Neurospora crassa OR74A: one gene and its partner. The protein of the gene in region 1 interacts with the protein of each later gene in a biochemical or structural test. Links are inferred from orthologs where the notes say so. Each region holds a gene or a part of one and is shown on either strand. Other genes may lie near its edges.

What was found. The genes of interacting proteins can lie anywhere in the genome.
Region 2: the proteins of pex14 (region 1) and pex7 form a complex in vitro, tested with the Saccharomyces cerevisiae proteins (2 studies listed by BioGRID). The link is inferred for Neurospora crassa OR74A from reciprocal best matches to the Saccharomyces cerevisiae genes PEX14 and PEX7.

Annotation. Positions count from the first base shown.
Region 1 is NC_026506.1:2,098,178-2,101,985, forward strand, and holds pex14 (peroxisomal membrane anchor protein), read left to right. Parts: upstream 1-1,292; 5' UTR 1,293-1,706; coding exon 1,707-1,746; intron 1,747-1,826; coding exon 1,827-2,152; intron 2,153-2,208; coding exon 2,209-2,946; 3' UTR 2,947-3,308; downstream 3,309-3,808. Other genes in the region: NCU03899 (HEC/Ndc80p family protein), read right to left, coding at 1-530, 634-684. UniProt on the Saccharomyces cerevisiae protein: Component of the PEX13-PEX14 docking complex, a translocon channel that specifically mediates the import of peroxisomal cargo proteins bound to PEX5 or PEX21 receptors.
Region 2 is NC_026504.1:2,329,020-2,332,777, reverse strand, and holds pex7 (peroxisome biogenesis factor 7), read right to left. Parts: upstream 2,560-3,758; 5' UTR 2,256-2,559; coding exon 1,857-2,255; intron 1,760-1,856; coding exon 1,064-1,759; 3' UTR 501-1,063; downstream 1-500. Other genes in the region: NCU07661 (hypothetical protein), read left to right, coding at 1-322; NCU07663 (GRF zinc finger domain-containing protein), read left to right, coding at 2,987-3,758. UniProt on the Saccharomyces cerevisiae protein: Receptor required for the peroxisomal import of proteins containing a C-terminal PTS2-type peroxisomal targeting signal, such as 3-oxoacyl-CoA thiolase. Specifically binds to cargo proteins containing a PTS2 peroxisomal targeting signal in the cytosol.

The DNA of each region.
Region 1 (3,808 bases):
GTCGGCGACTTTGTGAAGTTGTCGGACAGCTTGTGGTTCATCTCCATCTCGAAATTGTTCTTGGCGAGGTACTCGAGCAACTCCTGGCCAATGCGATTTTGGAATTGACGGTCTTTGAGGGGGCGCGGATCGCGAGGCACGCCGGCGGGCTGGGGCGCTTGCTGGAAGAAGCTCATATGCCCACCAGCTAAGGGACCTCCGCCGACGGCCGACGGTCGTGCGCTTGGGCGGTAGACGCTGCTTCGCCGGTCGAGTTCTTGCGATGATCGAGGAATACCGGAACTGCCTGGGGTGCCATAGGGCTTGAACTGCGACGTGTTCATGTTATGAACCGACGCGCGCTTTACCGAGCCCAGGCCAATGTCGGAGGATCGCTGGAACAGAGGTTGGCTCGGTCGCGGGAGGGCCAGAGATTGCCTCCCCGACAGAGAGCGACCATGGCCCGTTCCTATTGTGCCGATGGTGCTTTGTCGCTTAAGTGTGGAGGGTGGTGCCGGAATGCCCGACGTGAGGTTGACGCCATGGAGAGTCTACAGAGAGAGCAGAGTCAATATCGTGCATGGTCGCGTCGGATGGGGAGAGGTTTCGACCGAGGAAACACGCCGCAAAGAAAGTCACGGGGGGAAGTCGCACCTCCCTTGGCCGTCGAACACTCCAAAGGCCTGCGTTGCTGTCTTGCGACATGACGGCAAAGGCCTCGTCAATGTGCGCCTCCCTTTTGCCGTCCTAGTCGCGTGGTTTCCGTGATAATATATAAGCAAGCGAACAAAAGAGTGTTACACTACGTGCAACTGTGTCGGATCGATGTCGGCGATGATTCTCTTGGTGGTGATTATGTCGGATAGCTTTGTAGAGCTAAGGTATGCGCTCGAGTTAATGTGGGTACGTGTTCGCGGCTCTGACAGAAATCAATGCATAACCGCAGTCGCGGATTTCGTCGTGTCGTAGCGATAAAAGTACGTGTACGGCCAGCAACCTAATGCAGGCCAGCATAGGTATGTAGGTAGATTAAGACACCGTAGTGTAGACGGGACTAGGTTGTCGACTTCTGCGGATGGTGGGGGAGGTTGCTCCGTCAGGAAGAGTAAACAAAAGAAAGGCGACGTGGGTGGGGCTGTGGAAATCATTGGGCTGAACAGTGCCAAGTGCACTCCAGTTCTCGTCCCCAAGCATCGGGACGGCAGGTGAATGACGGGAGTGGGTCCAAAAGCGACCTTGAGGGTGAGTGTTGGCTCGCTTCAGGTCAGTGCTTTTTCAGCTCTGCACTCCCGTCTCTGAGCCAGTCACTGCATGGAATGGATGCTCAGCTGCGCTCTAGGCCTGTCGGAGGAAAAGGAGAGTCAGGGGAGGAGATAGTGATTTATCTGATCAGCATGCCTCCACGAGTGTGCTGGGGGTGCAAGTGATGCGAAGCTGTTAAGGTGCTATTAGCAGTCCACGTCTAGTGTACAATCAGGCCCCCGGTCCCGTGAACCTCGGCTTCAGGACTCCATCCAGCGGCCCAGCCATCCCCCGAACCGCTGCCAGTCAGTTCGTTTCCACTTCATCTATCGCATTCAGCCTCCCGTCCTTCGATAATCATTCCATCAACCGCCGCCGTCTGCCATCGCGTCGCGACTGTTTCAGCTGTCTGCTTCTTTCCTCTCGTCTGCCCAGTCTCAACAAGGGAACGCCATCTGCCGCATTTCGATCAAACAACATCAGTCATGGCCATCCGCGAGGACCTGGTCGCTTCGGCGGCGCAGTGTATGTTCTGCCCCTGTCTTGTCCCCTGCTACCTCCTCTACATTGCCAGGCCAGAATCTCACCCGACAACAACACCACAGTTCTTCAAGACCCCAGTGTCGCCGCCTCGCCAATCGAGAAGCGGATAGCCTTTCTCCAAGCAAAGAACCTCACCCAGGAAGAAGTCAGCGCTGCTCTCGCCCGCGCCGAATCAGGAGGTCCACCGCCACCGTACGCCCAGTCGCCCGCCTATGCGCAGTCGGCCGGACCCGTCGCAGCACAGGGTGGCTCTCCGCAGTACTATGGCTATCCCCCATACGCATGGCCGCAATCGAATACCGACGGTGTCAGGCGGGACTGGAGGGACCTGTTCATTTTGGCGACCGTAGTCGGAGGCGCGTCGTACGGCCTATACAATCTCGGCAAGGTAGGCCGCCGAACACCGTGCAATGTACATAAAAGGAAATTCTAACCGTTCGGCAGCGCTATGTGTATCCTTTGATTGCTCCTCCCACGCCGGAGCGTCTCGAGCAGGACAAGAAGTCCATCGACGAACAATTCGACAAAACATTCCAACTGGTTGAGCAGCTGGCCAAGGATACCGAAATCCTCAAGGCCTCGGAGCAGGAAAGGACAGAGAGACTCGACAATGCCCTCGAGGAGCTGGAGACTGTCGTCAGGGACCTCAAGGCAGCCAACAGACGCAGAGACGACGAAGCACAGAGAGTACGGGACGATGTGCAAAATCTCAGGGACTCGATTCCAAGGGCACTCAACAACCAGAAGGACTTGACCGACAACAGGCTGCGCGAACTCAATACCGAACTCAAGAGCCTCAAGACCCTCATCTCGCAACGCATGAACCCAACCGCCACCTCGACGAGCGTCAACAACTACCTTCGCCCCAATACTAACGGAAACGCCACTCCTTCTTCAGCCCCTGCCACGCCAGCCCTCGGCGGTGAGAACGGAGACTTAAACAGCAGAGCCGCGAGTGCGCAGGATGAGCAATCCAGATACCAGCAGGAACAGCAGTTCGCTCAACCTGCTGCCCCCAAGCCTTCGCCTTTCAGCAGCGGAATTGCCTCTGCAGGCAAGCCGACTATCCCTGCTTGGCAGTTGGCCATGGCCAACAAAACCGCGTCGGCTTCGACTGTCGGAGTCACGAACGGTACTACAAACGATGGCTCAAGCAGCAACGGAGGCGACGAAGCCGCTTAAAAAGCTGTTCTCCAGTCAGGCACAAAGATAAAATAGCACCGGAACTGGGAAACCTGGATACATTAATCGGCATGAGCATAAGGCCAAAGTGAGCGACTCCCTCTGGTTTTCTGTATAGTAATAAAGCTCCTGTACGTTGTTCAAGCAGGACAATACACAGGAGCACTTGTGAAGCATGGGACAACCTCATTCAGTCCCCTTTCCATGATAGCGCGTTTGTATTTCTGCAAGGTCTTTAAGCGCGGACGTTGCATGGCATTTTCCTAGAGCATGATATCAAAAGCTACCATTTTCACATCTTATAAGGTTAGGCCGTGAATTGATCTGAGACATCCCGTACACCTGACCGCCCAGTATTTCTGCCTCACTATTTTGACCGCTGCTATGGCATTGCCGAGACAAATTTTTGGTTATTGTCCTCAGCCACCCAAAAAAACTGGAGGGGAGGGGCAAAAAAAAAAAAAAGCCATGATCGAATAGAGATGCGCAAACGGTCAAAGAGGGACAACTGGCTTTGGTTATGTCGCCCTCTATTCAGGACTTTCAGCCACATCGGTACAGTCAGAACACCGCGGCCTCTGTAGAGAACTAAAGGATACATTGTAGTGTAGGTATTGATGTCGCTGCCAAATCATTACCTCAGCGTAGCATATGCGTACCCGAGAGGTCGGATGCGGAATATTCTCTGTTAAGACATCCCGGGTTCAAGGTACATACACCTTCGTGCCATGGTTCAGTTTCCAATCGCATCTAATAGTCCTCGTAGCTATTACTTGATCGGGCAATGCTTGCTTGGAACCAAACATTGACCCCACCCATCATCCCTTTCTTCCTGTGCCAATGTTCTCATAGCGCCTTCGTC
Region 2 (3,758 bases), on another chromosome or scaffold:
TCACCCGCCCAACCCAAGCAACCCTGTTGCTGTTGAGAACGCCCCCGTGGCTTCTGCTCGAGCAAGCGAGGAAGCAGAGACTCTAGTCGACGGTTTCAATGGAGGCAACAACAGCAAGCGGTACCTAATCACCAAGCAGGAAGACTTTTACCAGGTGAATGACTGGCTCAAATTTGTGTTCTCGAGTCCGGGAGCGTGGGTGTGGTATGCCATTCAGGTGTGGAACTCGATCTTGTGCGTGGTAGGCGTGGTACTATTTGAACCATTGATCAGGGCTATTGGGATTAGGAGGGAGGGAGGCGGAAAGCCAAAGTGGACGTGAATTTCCGAGGATGTTGAGTCTGTAGCCATATTGGGGAACCCCTCGAGAAATTCTATAAGTGGAAGGGGTGCAAGAGATAAGATTGAGAAGATCCAAGCCAAATGGAAGAAATTGGATGTTACAGCACAAACTGGGATGGTGAGACACCAGCTGTATCGGTAATACTCAAGAGAGATAGTCATGGACAAATATGTATACTCAAGTTGACTGCATTCCTTTAATACACTGGTACCACACGTCTCAACGCATAGCGATACTAAGGGTAGAAATTTGAGCTTACCATCATCTCGAATCATGGTATACTGTTCTTCTAATCCTCTAGATGCCTTATACAATTATGTTCTGTCTCTTTCCCGCCCCTTCTCTCGTACTGACCGACTCTCGCGTCGGGACGGTCAATTTAACCCAATTCCTGTACCGATTTATTTCCTACTTTCGTAAGCTCCAGCCAAGGAACACGTTTGGTCAAATCTCCTGTCCGCTGTCACCATGTCTGTTCTGTTCGTATAATGTCGGCTTCTAGACGTACAAACTCCCCGGGGTATCGCTGCGCAACTGAGGGGGCGCTTTTGTGCATGCAATGATTCTCAGCAGCCGATAGTCGATCGGTCTTGATTTTGCCCTCATATCTTCTACTCCTTTACTATCAGGCAGTTTGCCACGTAAATTTGCCTGAGCAATCCACTCAAAGACCAATCAACTCAAATACGTTTTTCCACCTCTTTCAAACAACCTGCTTCTTCATCCACGCAACAGGGACGCAGCATCCCAGAGTAGCACTCTCTCGTCCCAGCCGGCCGACGCGCACCAACCGCCTGCACCGAACAAACACCAATCCACGCCCGTAACAAACTCAGTATGCCTGTTCATAAGGCCCAACTGAGTTCCCGCACGGACAGTGTCAGGCTGGCGCCCGCTCGGTACCGGTGGCTGAACGTGCTGCGGCATAGTGGATCCGTCCGTCCACACGCGCACGCTCATGTCGTAGCTGGCGCTCACCAAGATGTCGCTGGCGTGCGGGCTCCATGCAACGCGGCGGACCGCGTACTCGTGGCCTGTCATGAGCGCCAGGGGACCGCCGGCCGGGTTGCGGATATCAAACGTGCGTATGACGCGATCGACGCCCGCCGTGGCGATCACCGTGTCGTTATATTTGTTCCAGTCGTGCGTCAGGACTTCGTTCGGCACCGTGCCCGAGTAGATGGAGCCGTCGGCAAGGCGCGAGTAACCTGACCCGCCCGTGGCCGGCGCGTGCACGGGGATCACGTTGGTCAGGTGGTACTTGGCCGATACGGGCGTGCGTAGGTCGAAGATGCGCAGGGAAGAGTCGGCGGAGACGGCGGAGACGAGGGCGGCGTTCGAGGGGCAGTAGGAGGTGCTGTAGGTGCAGCAACCAATGGGGAGGGTCTTGAGGGAGGCGTTGCGCGTGGGAGACCACTGAAGACAGAGTAGGAGGATTGTAAGCCAGCGCGCAAGTCGATCGGCCATGATGCTACGATGGTGGGTGGGAGGAACACAAGAGATGAGCACATACAACTTTGACGGTGCCATCCCAGGAACTCGAGATGAAGCTGTCCTTGGTGACGGGATTCCAGCAAACCGAAAACGTTTCCCGCTTGTGTTCGTGAAAGTTCATGACAGGGAAGTTCTCCACCCCCAGGTCGAAGAGCTTGATGGAGCCATCGCCGCAAGCGACAATGAGCTGATTCTCGTTGAGCTCCGACCAGGCAAGATCGTATTGGGCATCGTTTGTCTCAAAGGTCTTTTCGCACTGGACGCCGGCTGCGCTCAGGCCCAGGCAGAAGAGGCGACCGTTGCCGACGATGCCATAGTTGGCGGCAGTGGCGACAGCAAGGCGTGAGTCGTAGTATGGGGAGTACTTGACGGCGTAAGGATTGTAGCCCGGGGTACGAAATTCCAGCATGGACGCCATGTCGAGAAACGTGGGCTTGTCATGTGCTGCCCATCAGGAGGTCTCTGTAAAAAGGTTGGCGTTGCAATGGGCGCACGACCTCTTAGCCGACGTGAGTGGTTGACAGCCTAATGAATCTGCCAGCGACGGTCGCGAGATGAGGCGTTGCACCTGGAAATGACGGCGACGGCTTGGACGTATCGGTAGGGTTTGAAACGGGCGTCGGGTGTAGGTGTTGGCAGAACTTACTGTGACGGGATGGAAAGCTGGTTGGAAACTAATTGAAGAACGCCAAACAGCGACAACGCCGTGGGGAAAGCCTCGGCTTGTCAGCTTACATCTGGATATTAGTGGGGTACCCCGGAAGCCCGCCTGGCATCCAATCCATATCTGGTCGGCACGTTGCCCCTGCCGCGGGCGTGGAAGCCCCGGGCCGTAACGGCGTGAGCCCCACAGCATGGATGGATGTGCTCGCTAACTCTCTAAGGGATAGCGCCTACCCATGACGTCGCCCCAGGATACGTAAAATATAGTGCACACTAGAAATAAGTACCGACGTGTCCCCGTGACAGCGCGTGTTTGGCCACTTTCAATCACGTCCCCCTCCTTCCTCTTCGTAACAAGGACGCGTCTGAAAATACAAATCCATGTTCATCTTTCATCCCACGCGCATCTAACCAGCGTGAACCCGGCCATGGTAACAGACACTCCAACATGTCGAGATTTTGTACTCCTTCCTCTAAGCCGTGGCAATGGACAGGTTCATAACGAGGGGGAAGAGGAAAGCCGAGTTGACGCTGGAGGAAAACGTGGACACCACGCAAATAAAGCAGACTATCACCGCCTTCAATAATCCCATTGACAACACTCCGGATGGCGATGGAGAATCAACCGATATCAAACTGGCCATACTTGCTTCATTGCATCCAGACTTCGGTCATGATGCGTTACTGGATCTTCTAATCACCCACGATGGATCCGTGGAAGCCACCACGGAGGCTTTGAAAAGTGCCCAGGGCGCAGGGCAGATAGCCAAGAAGAAGTCGTCAGGTATTATTTCACAGGCTTCTTTACGCTCTTTCGCCGTTCCATCTACCACCGGCGATGGCGACCATGGCGGTGCTAGTATTATCCCCAAGAAACCCAAGCTCCTTTCCCGGAAAGGCGCAACACTCCATCTCTACGACCCCTCCGACATCAGCACCCACACCCCTTGCACCGTCATCCACAACTTCCTCCCCCCTTCGGTCGCCAACAGCCTCTTGGTAGAACTCTTGGAAGAAGCCAAGACCTTCGGCAAAGCCACGTTCAAGCTCTTCGATAACGTAGTCTCTAGCCCCCACACATCCTGCTTCTTTGTCGGGAGCGATTACGAGCTGGCCGAGCAAAAATCGGCCTACTTCTACAACGGCGCGCGCCTCTCCGATATCCGCCGCCTGACACCTCAGCTGGAAACAGTGCGGCCGTTGGTGCAGGACGCCGTTAATACCGAGATCCAGAAGCGCATCCGGACTCATCACCTGT